3 linked regions of the Drosophila melanogaster genome follow. Changing the gene in region 2 together with the main gene of any one other region gives a genetic interaction. Each region holds a gene or a part of one and is shown on either strand. Other genes may lie near its edges.

Region 1 (5,694 bases), 1.4 Mb from region 2:
CGGTGACCCACCAGCCTCCGCCGGCACTGGAGCTGGCCGGGAATCTGGAGTACCCGAACCTCAACATTGCGGACCTAAACGCGCGATTGGAAAACCTTTCGCCGCGACTGCACGACTGCTGGGACAGCATCGCTATCAATGATCACAACCACCTGGCCCTGGCCACAAACCGACGCGAAGGACGCCAATGGTGGGGCATGTTGTTCGGCTACGGACGCGACCAGATGCACCATATGAGCGTGGACTCGGCGAACTTCAAGCTGCAGGCGGAGCACACGGTGAACATTGTGCGCTACGCTGAGGATGATTTCCTACTGGTGGCCCTTGGGGATACCCGACTCCAGGCCTGGTCCACATACTCCAAGGTGCGAGATTCTCAGTCGCCATACTGCCTCTTCCTCGTGGGCGAGTCCAGTGCGCATCCCACACCCATCAGCCAACTGAGCGTCTTCAAGGCGGATCCCCGCACTGCCGTTTCGGGCTCAGCGGACAGTACCCTCAATGTATGTATAAAGGTGATGTGGATGTATGGAAAATATACAAATGTTACCCTTTTGCAGGTCTGGGATCTCTCGGGCGCCGATATGGTGAGCACCTACAGATCGCGCTCCTCGCATACCGACAAGTTGACTGGCCTGGCCACACCCGCAGCTTCAGTCGATAAATTTGTGACCTGTGATCGTGGCGGCTGTGCCCGCCTTTGGGATGTCCGGGCAGCGGCTCCATCTTCCACGTGCCTCTATGCGGATGCCAGCCACGTGCTGAGCTTCACCAGTGCCGCCTGGGCAGCTGCCTCGGAGCTGCAGGGTGACAATCACATCTATCTCGGGGACTATGACGGCAAAGTTCATACTCTGGACATTCGAGTGCCACGAAAACTGGCGGAAACCAGGGAATACTTCGACAAGGGCCATGTCGCCCAGTTATTAATCAATGGGTACAAGTTTAAGCGAAACAATGACGATTTGCATTAACGCACATATTTTCAGGCCCCATCTGGCTGCGATGAGCAATTTGCCCGCCTCCGTGAAAGTGGCCAATGTGCAGGCGGGCCATGAGTTCATCTACACGCACCAGGACACCCATTCTCGCCTAACTGATGCCGTTTGGACCGATGATAGCACCCTCATCACCATTGGACATGGCCGCAAAATGGTGACGCACGCTATCAAATAATTTTGCTGCCGAACAAATTCAATTGCTTTATTTCAAAAAGCGGAATGGTTTGCTGAAGAGTCATTCTTACATTTAACACTTATAGTTACTGAACAGTTACAAGTAATAAATCGTAATAATAGTCCAATGAAATGGCAGAATTCAAATCGATAGGAATCTTAAAAAAATTGTGAAGCAGCAGCCCAGTTTAAATGCAGTTTAACAGGATAAACCGGGCTTGGGCGATGAAACTTACACTAGACAACACGTAAAAATTAACAACCGCAAAAAATACTTAAATTCGCCAATACACTCGGATGCGGCGGTGTCGGCGTTTTGGGAAAAATGTTGTCGCTTAATTTTTCCAGAAAATTAAAACCTTTTCGCGCCTCGACCCTCACGTATTAACGATGGAAACACAGAAACGAAACCTAGCGTCGCGATCGCTTGGTGGGTGGCTCAAGGAAGTTCTCCTCCTCGATTTCCATGCCATCGAGCTTCATCAGCCTCTTCGCCTTCTGCAGCATGGGCGCATCGCGCAGCCAGCTGCTCTGCAAAACGTCGTCGATTGAGGGTCGCCTCTCGGGATCCACAATGAGCATTTGGTTGATCAGCAGCTTGGCGCGCTGCGAGACACTCTTCCAAGAAGGGTGTCCATACGCGAATCTGCCCTTCTTTATTTGCTGGGCCGCCGGGGTGCCGTACTCGTCCGAAAAGGGCAGAGTGCCACTCAGGCTGCAAGATATGAGTATATTGCTAAGTTATCTTCGTAGGAGAATAACATAATGACTTACCAAGTAAATAGCACCACTCCCAAGCTCCAAATGTCCACTTTCTTGGTGTAGGCTTCTCGGCCGCCGGTAATCAGCACCTCAGGGGCCACGTAGAGAGGTGTGCCACAGAGCGTGCGCATAACCGAGTCCTTCTGCACAAACTTACTCAGCCCGAAATCGGAGACCTTCAGTAGGGTCTCCTCGTCATTGGTCTCCAGCAAAACATTGTCAGGCTTAAGGTCACGATGGGTGATGCCTGAAAGGTAGAAACTAGTTAGTTGAATAATTCGATTGATGTGTTCGCAGTAGTCGTACTAGCAAATTCGTAAAGGCGCAGGAATGATTTGCAATTAAGGGCGTTTTCAATGACCATTCCGAAGACTTACTTATTTGCATAACAGAAATGAACGGCTTGCTTAATCAGCAACACATTCGAACCCAAATAAAACTAATTTGTTTTACCCCGATCGTGTAGGTACTTGACGGCATGGCACATTTGGTAAAAGTAAAGCTTCGAGATGTCCTCGCTAAGTAGTTTGTTGCTGATGATCCGGTTAAGCAGGTCGCCGCCGCGCATAAACTCCAGCACCATATACACAGAATCCGGCTTGTCCACGATGTCGTGCATGCGAACCACGCACGGATGTGAAAGATTCTTCATAATCTTGGCTTCGTTCAGCACCCGGTCGGGATCACTGAAATTGGTACTGGGTCGCGCCCCAGAGAGCATATTCTTCTTAACGATTTTCATCGCAAACTGCTGGCAGGTGCGGGTGTCATAGACCAAACGCACCAGTCCGTACGCTCCAGATCCCAGCTTGCGATTTACATAATACGTCTTGTTAATCTCCTCGGGAAGCCCGATCGACTCATTCGGGCTGAGATCCTTGAATACAAAGGCTACAAGGGAGGGCAGGTGCAAAACATCAAATTACTTGCGAGTCCTTGTCGATAGCTATACCTGCTTGTCGATCGCTTACCTTTGTACGTTGGGTGGGACAGGGAAATTACGTCGTCATTCTTTAGGATTCGCATCCTGTTTGTGCCAATTTTCTCGTTATTCACAAACGTCCCGTTGCGTGAGAGATCCTGCGAAATGGGCGGAAACAAGGTTACTACATTTTAATAATATACGGAATTATACGGAATAGTAACTTCTTTTTGTAAATTAATTGTGGGAAATATTCAATATTGAAGTTACCTTTTTTGATAATCTCAACAAAACATAAATAAAACTTAATTTGAATTCTGCTCTTGTGGGTTCTGAATTTGCTATCTTTTTTTTCAAGGCTTCCTTCAGAGCTTTTGGGTTTGGAACTTCCACCTACCTGAATATAAACTGGATTGGTAAGTTCGCAGTTTGCCCGCTTTATGATAAAATGCACTTTGGAAATGCGCGTCAGGATTTTCTCGGGCAAATCGTTGAGCGTGAGGATCAAGTCGTTGGCCTCCCCTCGTCCTGCGGTGAACTCGTCGTTGTTGAGATCTGCAAACAGTTCAGCATGGGATCGTCATTAATACATGAGGAGCACACGCAATGGGGACACAAAACAGGAGGAAATGTGGTTACCAACAGAAAAGGACGAATGCGTATAAATGATTCGGTATTTTGAACTCGTACCCAGCGATTTGATCTTAATGTTCTTGCCGTACAATCGACCCCAGACTATCTTCTCCATCGGCTGGCTCTCCACCTGCGTCCAGATATTGGAGGCCTGACTCTGGGTTCCCTGCGTTCCTTGTGTGTCGCGTGCCATAGTGATTCCAAAACTCCGAAACTCCGTAGCCCCGTAATCTCGTATTCCTGCTATTCCGCAAGTCGAACTGGAAAACCCGTTAGGTTTGCCTGGAACTGCGTAAATTCGAAATGTCCAGTTACTCCAGCACTACCACAGGCAGAAATGCACACATACACGAGGAGTCCGATCTTCGGAAAAGCTATAGATCTATAGAAGCTATGGGTTTGAATCTCTGAGCGTTTCTTCTGCCCAATTCGATTACATCGAGCTTTTCGCACAGCGCTGGCTGATAGTTATTTAGAGTTTATCAGACGAAAACAACGAAAACTAACAAAAATCACGACATTGGTTCGATGTGAACTGCGCGAGGGACTACAATTTCTGCGGCAGTGTGTGTAAAAGTTGCCGCCTTCCAGGGATGGGGTGATTATCAGCGCCAGTGTTGGCAAGAGTCCCAAGGAAAAATTAAGGGTTTTTACAAATTAAATATTGCTTAGGTTAAGACTTTATTGTCAAAAGAAAAAATACTAATTAACTACCGGACTGAAAATTATATAAAAAACTAAAAGTATTGAAACAGATTAATTCCTTTACAGATCGTAGTTTCTTTAATATGGTACATGTATTTGAAATTTAACGGCCATCCATTGTTGAAATCCATTCAGCACTGGCAGGACCTGTGCAGCCCTGAACTTAAAGAAATTCCATTGTAAGCTATCGTGTTTTTATTCGATTTCGAAGCTTTAAGGTGTAAATTAAGTTTGTTTATTTCATTTTTCTCATATGATAAAATTATGTATCATGTTTATACTAGTTAATTATATTCCGCAATACTTTATAGCTAATTCTTTAGCGATTTTCCTGTCCATATTATCTAGCTAGCTTGGCACACCTTTAGTTTTAACCAACACTGAAATGCAGCCCTAAATTGCGGCGTCGTTTGAAAGAAACTGTAAACTATTACCAATACCAGCGCAAAAACAGAAATAGACAAAATACAATCAACAAATCATCAAAAAACAAAAAATTCAAAACTGTCGAATTGGGATCACAGCTATTATTAAAAGTGAGTGTGCTTATTAACACTCTCCAAAACCATCAGCCTACGGCAACCAAAATTCCTTGTGCTGTTCTCTGACTTCATCTCTGATTTATCCACTTCCTTGAAAGGATGACTCTGCCCCGCTTAGAAACTCCGCTCAGGCGGTCCGCAGTAGGCAGTTACCAGGAGGGGGTGTCCCGCATGCTAACCCCCTTTAACGACGACGAGGCGGAAAGGCGGGAAGCCCGACGTCGCACGCTCCTTCAGCAGCATCACCGGTCGAGCACTCTGGAGTCCATCGAGGACAATGAGACCATCAAAAATTGCTTGGAGCTCTACAATGGCAACAAGGTGAGCAAGGACAACGCCTGGAACCTGATGCTCATCGATTCGTTGGCCAATTTGCTGGATCACCATCACAAGCGCATGAGCAACTTCAAGGTGGGTTTTGCCTCATTCAGTTTATGTAAATGTAATAATTTCATGATGTTATACCCTAGATGGCTGGTTCCTCTTTAGAAGCCTCTTCCAAGGTTTACGGCCTGCGTGTGGACTCCATCTACTTGGACGCCATGCGCATTTCAGCTGGCTTGAGTGCACGAACTCTTACGGATAAGCAAATAAATGCTGCCGAGGATGATGATGGCCCCCAAGGTGAACAGGCTACTGGCGAGGGTCAGGACTCAGCGCAACAGGCAGCAAAAGAAGCAGCACCGAAGCCCAAACGGCAAAAGAAACCCATATCCACCGTGACCAAAAACAGAGAAACGCTGAACAGCCGGCTGGATACGGCTCCCTTGCAGGATCCTGTGTTTGGCAAGCTGAACTCCACTGTGGGCTCTATAAATGCTTCCAATCGTCTGATGCACAACATTCTTCCTAGTTTCGACTCTGAATTGCGCTTGCGTACCACCTACAATTTTTGGAACAGCGAAGAGTCCACCGAGGAGGTCCAGGACCACACTACACTCAATGCAGAAATGGA
Region 2 (4,708 bases):
TCCTGACACCGGAATTTCGTCGAAGGCGATGAGCATAATGAACAGCTTTGTAAATGATATTTTCGAGCGAATTGCTGCCGAAGCGTCTCGTCTAGCTCACTACAACAAGCGCTCGACCATCACCAGTCGGGAGATCCAAACGGCTGTTCGCCTGCTTTTGCCTGGAGAGTTGGCCAAGCATGCTGTCAGTGAGGGAACCAAGGCTGTCACCAAGTACACCAGCTCTAAATAATTTTCTCCTGCGAATGCGGACAATAATCCAAAACGGCCCTTTTCAAGGCCACAATGTGTTATACCAAAGAAATGCATTTTTCAACTACCAATCATCGAATATGAATTTACAAATAAAACTTATTTACCCGCAATATGGGTAATTGGGTAATGTTCAAATAAATACAAAAAAATCGGGAACGAAAACTGAATGCGACCAACATGCAATGTAATTCATGACATGAAACGTTTTATTGTTGCTGCGAACGTCAGCTAATAAATAAGTGGAAGAAAATAAAAGTTTTTTTCTCTTGCAACGGAACGTTGTAGCCCTGAAAAGGACTTGTTTAAACAAATTTCAGATCTATAAATCATAAATCTAAAATTTTAATTGCGAACATGTACCAAATACTGCACTTTTTCACAATTTACTTTTTGGCAGCCGTAGTCTTCGCTTTCGGCTTCTTGGCGGTAGCAGAAACCGATGCTTTCTTCACCGTCTTTTTGGGTTTTGCAGACACCGCTGGCTTTGCCTTTGACGCTTTCGCTACTACAGCCTTTGGCTTCGCTGCAGTCACTTTCGCCTTTGTTGCGGCGGGCTTCGACTTTATGATTCCAGTTTTCTTGGCATCCTTGGCTTTTGCCTTCTCAGTTTTCTTATTTTCGGCAGTCTTTTTGGTAGCCACAGCCTTCTTAGCTTTGGGCTTTTTGTCAGCAGCCCCAACGGCAGTTTTTTTAGAGGAGACACCAATCTTCTTAGAGGCTACCTTCTTGCTTTGAACTTTTTTCTCAGCAGACAAAACCTTCGACTTTGCCTTCGGATCCTTTTCCTTCTTGGCAGAGGCCGACAGTTTGAAAGATCCAGATGCACCCTTTCCCTTAGTTTGGATAAGCTTTCCATTGACCACGGCCGATTTTAAGTACTTCTTGATGAATGGCGCTAACTTTTGGGCGTCGCATTTATAAGTGGCAGTGATATATTTTTTGATTGCCAGAAGTGATGAACCGCCACGTTCCTTTAAATTTTTAATGGAAGCGTCCACCATTTGCTGAGTTGGCGGATGTGACGGCGTCGCAGAGGCTTTCTTTGCCTTTGTGCCAGCAGATCCAGATGCCTTTTTTTGGACCACTTTCTTCTCAACTGTCGCTGGTGGGGCAGCCACTGGGGAAGCGGACGTTGCAACTGCAGAATCAGACATCTTTTTTTCACTGAGAACACTTTTTTTCTGTTAAAAATGGCTCGCGCGCTGCCTACCAACCTCCTTTGCTCTGATGAGAATCGAGGAGGAGAGCACTTTAACAATGCTACTGACATCAGTCATTTACTATGTCGAAGTTTGCTTGAAGTGTAAACTTTTTTTAATTTTTTAGTATTTTAAATCATTAATAAAAATAAGGTTTTAATAGTTCTACACTTTTAAATAATTTTTTCGTCACTTTCCATTTTTAAAAGGATGTAATATGGGTTTTGAGACTTTCAAATGTTGATTGAATTTTTATATTCAAATTTTTAACTGGACCAATTTATAAAAAAACATCTAATAAAATAAGAATCATTGCAAATATTTCACTAATTCGTAATGTTTATTAAAATTGAAACGTTCATCCCCTAGAAGGGCTTCTGAAAGAAGCGTCTATTATTAATTAAGATACTTTATTACTTGATTTAAGTTCACATTGAACTACAGAAAAATTTGCTTTAAAGCAGCATTCAGAAATAATTTTCGATCGTTAAAAATACAGATACTTTCTTAAATAACATAATATTAATATAATAAATAATATTTTCTTAAATTATTAATGTGTTTGCTTGTTATTAATGTGTTTTCATGCATATTTTAAAATAATTTGTTCTGAAATCAATCGATTTCCTCGCCACATATGCATTACCGTCTATGTAGTCAAATAAATAAATCAAATAAAAAATAAAAAGAAACAATTTTTGTATTATCCTTTATTATGTAATATATATTACATTCCGCAACAAAATTAGCCAATTTCCGTGCTGAATTTTACATAGGTTTTATTTTTTACAGACGTTTGAAGGGACAGTGTCAATTGTCCCGTACGACCTCTTCAATAATAACACATTCTTCAGTTAACACATGGAAAAAATATAAAATAGCTAGTTTTATTTTATTATTTTCTGTTATTTTATAAATATTGCCGTCATCAATGTAATTTCATTAATTTCAAACTGTCTTACACAGAATTCAGATTTTTTTTTAGATGTTTAAGGTTCAGAGTCCCTTTCCCCGCACGACACTTTCACTGCTTTAAAGGATGTTCGCACAAAGAACAAATAAAAATATATATTTTTATATATATTTTATATTTATTAACCTCTTCTTTAATTTAATAAATGTCGAGCTTACAATTAAAATAAGATTATTTTTATTCCTTCTCTGGCAGAATTAGTATTTTTACATATGATTTAAGACCCAGTACCGTTTGCGCCATAAATAATAGAATATGAATTTTGTTCTTATTTTTTTTTTAAAGTTATAAATAGTCGGCAACAGAAAATTTTATCTCATTGAATCTGGTTTGTGGTCCTGAAAAGGACCGATTATAGAGTACGCTAGCGCTTTATCTGCAAGTTAATGCCGTGTCAGCTTAAGCACGCTCGCCGCGAATGCGTCGCGCTAACTGGATGTCTTTGGGCATTATGGTGACACGCTTGGCATGAATGGCACACAAGTTGGTATCTTCGAAGAGACCAACCAGGTAGGCTTCGCTAGCTTCCTGCAGAGCCATAACCGCCGAGCTCTGGAATCGCAAGTCCGTCTTAAAGTCCTGAGCGATTTCACGCACCAGACGCTGGAAAGGCAGCTTGCGGATTAGAAGCTCGGTGCTCTTTTGGTAGCGACGAATTTCACGCAAGGCCACGGTTCCAGGGCGATAGCGGTGGGGCTTCTTCACACCTCCGGTGGCTGGAGCACTCTTGCGAGCGGCCTTAGTAGCCAGTTGTTTGCGTGGCGCCTTTCCACCAGTCGATTTGCGAGCAGTTTGCTTGGTACGAGCCATCTCCGATTTGGGTTTCACTAAAGTTCACGTTCACTACTTCACGTTTGAAAACACAATAAACGATCAGAGCATTTGCTACCTACTTATATAGCAATCGTGGACGGTGAAAGAGAGAGAGAGAGAGAGAGAGAAAAACGGAGGCCATTTCATTTGACGAGCGAAAAGCGAACGAACATATCGTTCGTACTCTCTCGGGTTTTTGTCGTTTTACCTATAAATAGGGGCACACAGAAACGTTGAAATTAGTTCTTTAGTGACTTTCGTGCTGTGCGTGTATAATAGTATAGAACAGTGAAAAATGACTGGTCGTGGTAAAGGAGGCAAAGGCTTGGGAAAGGGTGGCGCCAAGCGTCATCGCAAAGTGCTGCGTGATAACATCCAAGGTATCACGAAGCCTGCTATCCGCCGTTTGGCCCGTCGAGGCGGTGTGAAGCGCATATCTGGACTCATATACGAGGAAACGCGTGGCGTTCTGAAGGTTTTCTTGGAGAACGTAATTCGTGATGCCGTGACCTACACGGAACACGCCAAGAGGAAGACAGTTACAGCCATGGATGTTGTGTACGCTCTGAAGAGGCAAGGCCGCACCCTCTACGGATTTGGCGGTTAAAAAGTGTACATCCTGTGTACCCCTATTAAGCAATCGGTCCTTTTCAGGACCACCATTCAGTTTTTAAAAGGAGGAAGATTTTCAAAAAGTATTTAATTTTATTGGTCGGGACTCCCAAAAAATATGTTAAACTAAAAATAAATGTCTGTTGTTCGTACTCTTTCAAATAGAATGTGTATTTCTAACATGGATTTGTACAGACTGTACAAATGGTTTCAGACACCGCATGTACAGCATCACATCGTGGTGTGCGATTGTTTAAAGAAGCAAATTATAGTTTATACCGCATATAGTAGAAAACCCTTACTACATTACCATCTTTACGTTAATAATTCTTTATGATTTACTAATTACAACAAATTGCCAAGCTAAAAAATTTTTCAATTCTTTGGTAATAATTTGGTCGTCCTGAAAAGGACGGTTTGATTGACGATTTTATGTACATGTAGGTTTTTAGCTTAGCCTTTGAAACGTTTAGGCCTTCTTCTCGGTCTTCTTGGGCAACAGAACAGCCTGTATATTAGGCAACACGCCACCTTGTGCAATTGTGACGCCGGAGAGCAGCTTGTTTAACTCCTCGTCGTTGCGGATGGCCAGTTGCAGATGACGCGGAATAATTCTAAACCGGCACGGTTTGAGCGGGACTTTGCCTTTCCCTTCACTTTGCCACCTTTTCCACGTCCAGACATTTTGCTTTGCGTTTATTTCACTTAGTTCACTTTACGCACGGAACACGAATGCTCGCCTAACCCAGACAGCGAAATATTTATACTTTTCCGTTTGCCTGCGCATTCAGTTAGGGGTGGGTGACTTAGACCTGAATTGACTGCTCGAAAAAAAGTATAAACGTGAACGCGTTCG
Region 3 (5,474 bases), on a different chromosome or scaffold from region 2:
AAGGGAAACCAATAATTTTTTGATATACATCGGTCGCCTTACTTGATGCAATTATACAGCGTTTGCAACTCGGCGATTAGCTCGGTGGATCCCTGGTCCACATTACAAATGGTGTGTGCCTTTTCGATAGCCTGAATGGTGCTCTTTAGCTCCTCCTTGTTTAGCATGCGCTCAGTCATTGGTCGCTTTTTGGCCGGCTGGTCGATGACCGCGGACGCGTAGGCTAGCAGAAACATATACTTCGGTTTGTGCTCGGGATTGATTTTAACGCCGGAACGAAAGAGCGCGTCTACCAGTAGCTCCAGAAACTGGGGGTTTCGTATCAAGTCGATGGGCGGTGGATCGGAACCGGAGTAGTTGCGAAACAGCACGGTGATATCGGCGGGATTCAGTGTATTGCGGGTGAGCATGGAAGTTAGGGCTTGACATGCTTGCGGATAGACTGCCGAACCATTCAGGGCCATTGTAATAGGCGTTACATTTTGATTGCTAAACAATGAAGCAAAAGAAAGGATTTATGTTATGACTAACTATGTGGAATCGTCAGTTATTTTCATACTTCTGCAGGGCGTATTTAATAATTTCCTGAGAGAGCCGCTTCATGTTGAACCCACCCTTCTGCTCCTGGCTGAGGACCTGGATGAGCACCTGGGAGTATACGTAAGTGTGCTGGCCATGGCAGACCATTCGTGCGCACTCCTGAATGGCACCGTGCACATCATCCGGATTGTTTAGAAATTTGACGATCGAGGTCTTTAGAACCCGCGAGAAAACCTCAATCTGCTGTGCCGCTGTCGAAATGGAAGTGATCTCGCTCTGGAAGCCCGCGTCCGAGATCAACTTGATTGTAAAGTTCAGCATTAGACAATCGGGATATTCTTCGGCCAGTCGGTAGATTAGCGAGCGCCACGTATAGTGGTCGATCATCTCGGTTAGCCAGTCGGGCGTCTCACCCTCCTCCGTGAATATGGTGTCCGCCTTCTTGGGATCGAAGGACTTAAGAATCATTTCCTTGAGATGATTCTCCACCATGGCCTGGACTTCGGTAACCTTGACGCCCGCCAGGATGAGCCATTCCGCAAGCAGGTTGGCCATCTGGGCCACCGCCTTGTAGTTCTCGGATAGCATCGATATAACCTCCTCCGGAGATCCGCCCGACTGAAAGTAGCGCTTCAGCTGCGTAAATATCCCCGGCTCCATGATGTAGTCCGGTGTGAGGAACTTCTCCAGGCATTCCTGTATCGTCTTCTGCGGATTGTCCTCAAGCGTTTCCTTCGATTGGGATGGGATAACATGATGTTTAGTTGTTATTTTTTATGGTTTATCTAGTAGCGTCATCAAATTGCCGGGATTGCCTGCCACGCCGTACACGCTCTATACTCAATTACCTCCGGATTGGTTTGTCCTTTGGCGCGGCCCTGCCAACCAGAGTCGTCGTATTCCACTTCCATTTTTTCTCAAAAACTTATTTACAATAACATAAAAATATTTTTCTTATTTTGATTAACTATGCATTTTTAGTGTGACTGTAAATTGTTAACCACGACGCGCACACCTACGCGGGTTATGCGCCGTTTACACTTAGCAAACTCTTCTGTTAATTTCATATTATGCAATGTAAATCTTAAATTTGAGGAGAAAAAGAAAATTGTCAATAAGTGTAAAACGCGGTAATGTAAACATATATTAACTAATTTTTTTTTAAATTAATATATGTAAAATCGCAGTTGGAACGTGGCTGTTATTCAAGAAAAAGAAGAAGAAGCTGCCAAACATATCGATAGCCACAAGTGCGGCGAATGCCGGCTTTCGTAAACAAAGGTCGCGTTTTTGCGAGTTTTAAATAAACTTGGCAAAATGTCGACACAACGGAAGGATATGTGGAAGTTGCTTTACAACCACGTAAACCGGAACGTAAGCAACTTTTCCGGCGTGTACAGCGTTATAGAAGACATATTGTGCCAGGAGCCGAGTCTGATAAGCTGTTCGTTGGTGCGGGAGCTGCACAACAAATTCCAGGACACATTCCTACTCTGGCTGCTCAACAAGCTGGCCAAGTGCCTTAGTGAATCTCCAGATAGCAGGTAAGATGAGCCACAAGCATTGGACTCCAAACTTATGACACACCGTTTTTCTGCTGCAGCGAGTGCATCAATCTTCAAAGGAAAATACTGAGCTCCTGCTGTTCCAATCATCCTAAGCTTTTTGAACGCCTTGTACTGGCCTATGTGGAAGCCATTGAGGAGACGCACCTTCAGCTAAGTTCCCTGGACCTCGGCCAATTGAGTAATGAGCGAAAACCCGCCATAACTGTAAGAATATTCCGATGCGATGTGGAATGCCTGCAGGAGTTCGATCCGCACTGCGCTATCGAGGACATCAAGGTGCCCCTTGAGCAAGCCGACATGTATGCCAAGAGCCTGCTGGAGGTCCTCCAGCATGCCCATCACATTGGATACGCCACGCACGGCGACATCTTCTCGGGCAGCCTTCATCAGGCTCTGCTAATCCTCAAGGAGTGCGACATGGACACAAAACTGGCCAGCTTGAATTACTGTCACAATGTCCTACGATCACAGTCGGCCAGCAGCTGGATAACAAATCCGGACGTTGGACATTATGCGCAATTAACGTTGGAGGCGACGGCAATCATGTGGTCGGCAGTAGCCAAGTGGCTGGACATGGGATGTATGACGCGCCAGGAGCTAAAACGGCTCAATATAACAACAAAGCTACTGCTAGAAGTTCTGCATATGCGTGCACGTCCAGCCCACCATCTTGGCTACCTGCTTTTGAACGAGATCCTTAGTTTGCCGACAGCCATTGAATTGGACGATGGACTGCTGGAGACCCTAAGTTCCTATATTCAAGGCCAGCTAGAGCATTCGGTTGTACCATTGGAGCAACTGGTGCACTTGCAGCAGCTTATGTTAAGCCATTGGCACTGCCACCCCACACATTTGGTGCCCATATTGGCGCTAATGGGCTTGAAACAGACTGAGATGCGCTCAGGAGTGGTCCAAGTGCTTACCCAAAGTCTCGTTGAAATCTTGAAGAAGGAAGAAGTATTGTCGAAGGATTGGCAGAAACTGATTGCTATTTTACGAGGCTTCAAGCAGCTGGAGAAACTAATTCTGTCACAGAGTCAGCATAAAATAGCTGAGCACGAAGGTCACATCGATTCCTCAGTTCTGGCCATGTTACCGCTGCAGTGTGAAATCATAAAGGTTGCGGATACCAATTGGAATAACCTTTCAATGCAGCTGGTTGAGCTGGAATCAAAGTGTTCCGCAGACCGAAGACACATACACTTGGAAATCTGCTCCCTTTTGATGCAAATCACCTTCATCCGGCACTTTTTAAAGACTCAAACGCAACACCAGCTGCTGGCCATTCTTCAGCGACATTTGAAGCTGTCCTACCTTTGCGCCATTCGCTTGGAGACACCTTCTAGTGTTCATACCCAAATGCAAAGCTTCTATGCCCAGCAGTACATGAGGCTATTTCAATCCGAGGAGACACAGGAGATATTCTGTAGCAACCTTCCGCAGTTGTACATATCGGGTTTCATAAAGCCGGAGCAACTGATGAAAGCTCTGCCCACCATTAACAATCGTAGTGGCCGCGCTCAAGTTATACGCCTATTGCTCTGCTCCCAGCCAGGTAAATTGAGTGTCTTTAAAGTCAAAGATCGCATTGAGCTATACTGCCCGAAATGCAGGCCACTGCCAAAGAAACTGCCAGGTATTTACCTCGGAAAATGCAAGCAACAGCTGCCATGTCCAGACTTTTCAAGCACCAACCTCGAAATGATAGCAAATGATTTATTGTTTTATCCCGATTTTGAATGTATTGCCCAGCATCTGGACCTTCTGTGCTTTGAACCCAATGTGATTCTTGGCCTGCTAAGAGAAACGGAGGCACTGCAAAAGGTTAGCGTTAAGGTTATCGGCCAGCTGGTCTCTGCGATGCGTGTGCGTTCGCCAGAATTCTTGGAGCAATTAGCCAATCTTGTTCTAGCTGCTATAAAAGCAATGCTAGCAAAGCCACTGACAGAGCAAAATGTGCTGCAGCAAAGAAGTATGCTCAACGTACTGACCGCCATTGCGCACATGGAGGATAATGAAATCTGGCTCTTTCACTGGTTCAAAATGACATTCTTCTTTCTGGTGCACACTCGCTCACTGGTGGCGCAAGAAGCTGTGCTGGCGGCCACCGAGATGTGTGCCAGCCAGGGTCTGCAGACGATTCATCTGTGGAACTGGTACAAGCGAGATGCTCTCGACCTCACCGTTCGCCTGGCTTTGAACGTTTATCTTTTGGATGGCGTACGCTTCACCCGATCCCTCCGAGCGGTGCGTAAATAGACGAACTTTTCTTCACTTCCCAAAATTTGACCGGTCTGTTTGCAGCTTACGAAAATGTTGGGATTCACGTGCGTTCAGGAGTTCACCTGCAAGTATCATCGCCTTCTGACTGCCATGGTCCTGCCGCATTGCATCGTGAATCCGCTTTGCAAGGGAGTTTTGGTATTGATAGCCAAACAAATGCAGAAACACATTGGCACCTTGTTCTCCATCTCGTTCCTGCGGATCTACACACACGTCTTCCTGACCGAGGAACCGGAGTTGGCCAATAGTTGCATCGAGCTGGTGGTCAGTTGCACCCAGTCCAGCCTGCAACAGCTAATGAATGCGGATGTCAAGGTGGGCAGAAGTTAATTTATATTTTATTATTTTATCTTTTATTTTATTTTATTTGATTTGGTTATCACTTGTAGCAAACGGTGGCCGAGTTGCTTATATATTTCAACCGAAACCCCACATTCGTGATGCGATCCTTTCAAAGCCTCTTGCAGTTATCAATCGGTTCCTTGGAGGAGTTGTCAAGTCAAACGGCGAATGCAGAGTTTGCGAATTTCATTGCTGAGCGTTTCCTCGGTGTGATCACCTACTTCGAGAGCTGCCTAAGTGAACCGTCTTTTGAGAAGCCATTGAAGGAGGAGACTTTGTACAGTTTGGGCCAGATTATGCGATTTGTGGGCTCCCAGCATGTCACCCAGTTTCGCTTCAAAATCATTGCCATGCTGAGTTTCGTTCACACATTGCAGGAGCCTCGTCTCCAGCGAATTTGCCTAAAGATTTGGCACATATTTCTGCATGTTGTAAATGTGCAGGAGCTGGGACCCTCTCTGGGAAGAATCGTGGCCACCTTGCAGCCTCTGCTGGCGGACAACGAGAGCGTTAAGCAGGTCAATGATCTGTACGAGTTCATAATTCTACGCAACGCCTCCATGCTGGGCACCTTTATAACAGATCTGTACTTTCTAGATCGCATGGAGAATGTTTCGCCTTCGATTCAAAAATGCATCAGAAGGCATACAGCCCATCTGGACCTTAAGGGATTGGCGGAGGAGGAGAATCAATCGCCACCATTGGTCGACCAGTTGCGTTTCCTGCAAAAGCACATAACCG

Evidence for each region. A genetic interaction does not mean that the proteins touch.
Region 1: of His1:CG31617 (region 2) and lok, changing one suppresses a phenotype caused by changing the other (phenotypic suppression), as found in Drosophila melanogaster (one study listed by BioGRID).
Region 3: of His1:CG31617 (region 2) and mei-41, changing one suppresses a phenotype caused by changing the other (phenotypic suppression), as found in Drosophila melanogaster (one study listed by BioGRID).

The regions. Positions count from the first base shown.
Region 1 is NT_033779.5:20,059,868-20,065,561, reverse strand, and holds lok (loki), read right to left. Parts: upstream 4,141-5,694; 5' UTR 3,842-4,140; exon of another isoform or gene 3,781-3,841; 5' UTR 3,686-3,780; coding exon 3,499-3,685; intron 3,415-3,498; coding exon 3,257-3,414; intron 3,018-3,256; coding exon 2,909-3,017; intron 2,829-2,908; coding exon 2,391-2,828; coding exon of another isoform or gene 2,377-2,390; exon of another isoform or gene 2,244-2,376; intron 2,185-2,243; coding exon 1,950-2,184; intron 1,891-1,949; coding exon 1,587-1,890; 3' UTR 1,181-1,586; downstream 1-1,180. Other genes in the region: vls (valois), read left to right, coding at 1-503, 561-937, 990-1,176; barr (barren), read left to right, coding at 4,839-5,150, 5,210-5,694. UniProt on the Drosophila melanogaster protein: May have a role in germline establishment.
Region 2 is NT_033779.5:21,418,715-21,423,422, reverse strand, and holds His1:CG31617 (histone H1), read right to left. Parts: upstream 1,569-4,708; 5' UTR 1,410-1,568; coding exon 639-1,409; 3' UTR 546-638; downstream 1-545. Other genes in the region: His2B:CG17949 (histone H2B), read left to right, coding at 1-232; His3:CG33803 (histone H3), read right to left, coding at 2,827-3,237; His4:CG33909 (histone H4), read left to right, coding at 3,536-3,847. UniProt on the Drosophila melanogaster protein: Histones H1 are necessary for the condensation of nucleosome chains into higher-order structures.
Region 3 is NC_004354.4:16,389,904-16,395,377, forward strand, and holds the start of mei-41 (meiotic 41), read left to right. Parts: upstream 1-1,794; 5' UTR 1,795-1,857; coding exon 1,858-2,084; intron 2,085-2,143; coding exon 2,144-4,355; intron 4,356-4,412; coding exon 4,413-4,706; intron 4,707-4,780; coding exon 4,781-5,474. Other genes in the region: TH1, read right to left, coding at 43-489, 560-1,272, 1,389-1,451. UniProt on the Drosophila melanogaster protein: Serine/threonine protein kinase which activates checkpoint signaling upon genotoxic stresses such as ionizing radiation (IR), ultraviolet light (UV), or DNA replication stalling, thereby acting as a DNA damage sensor.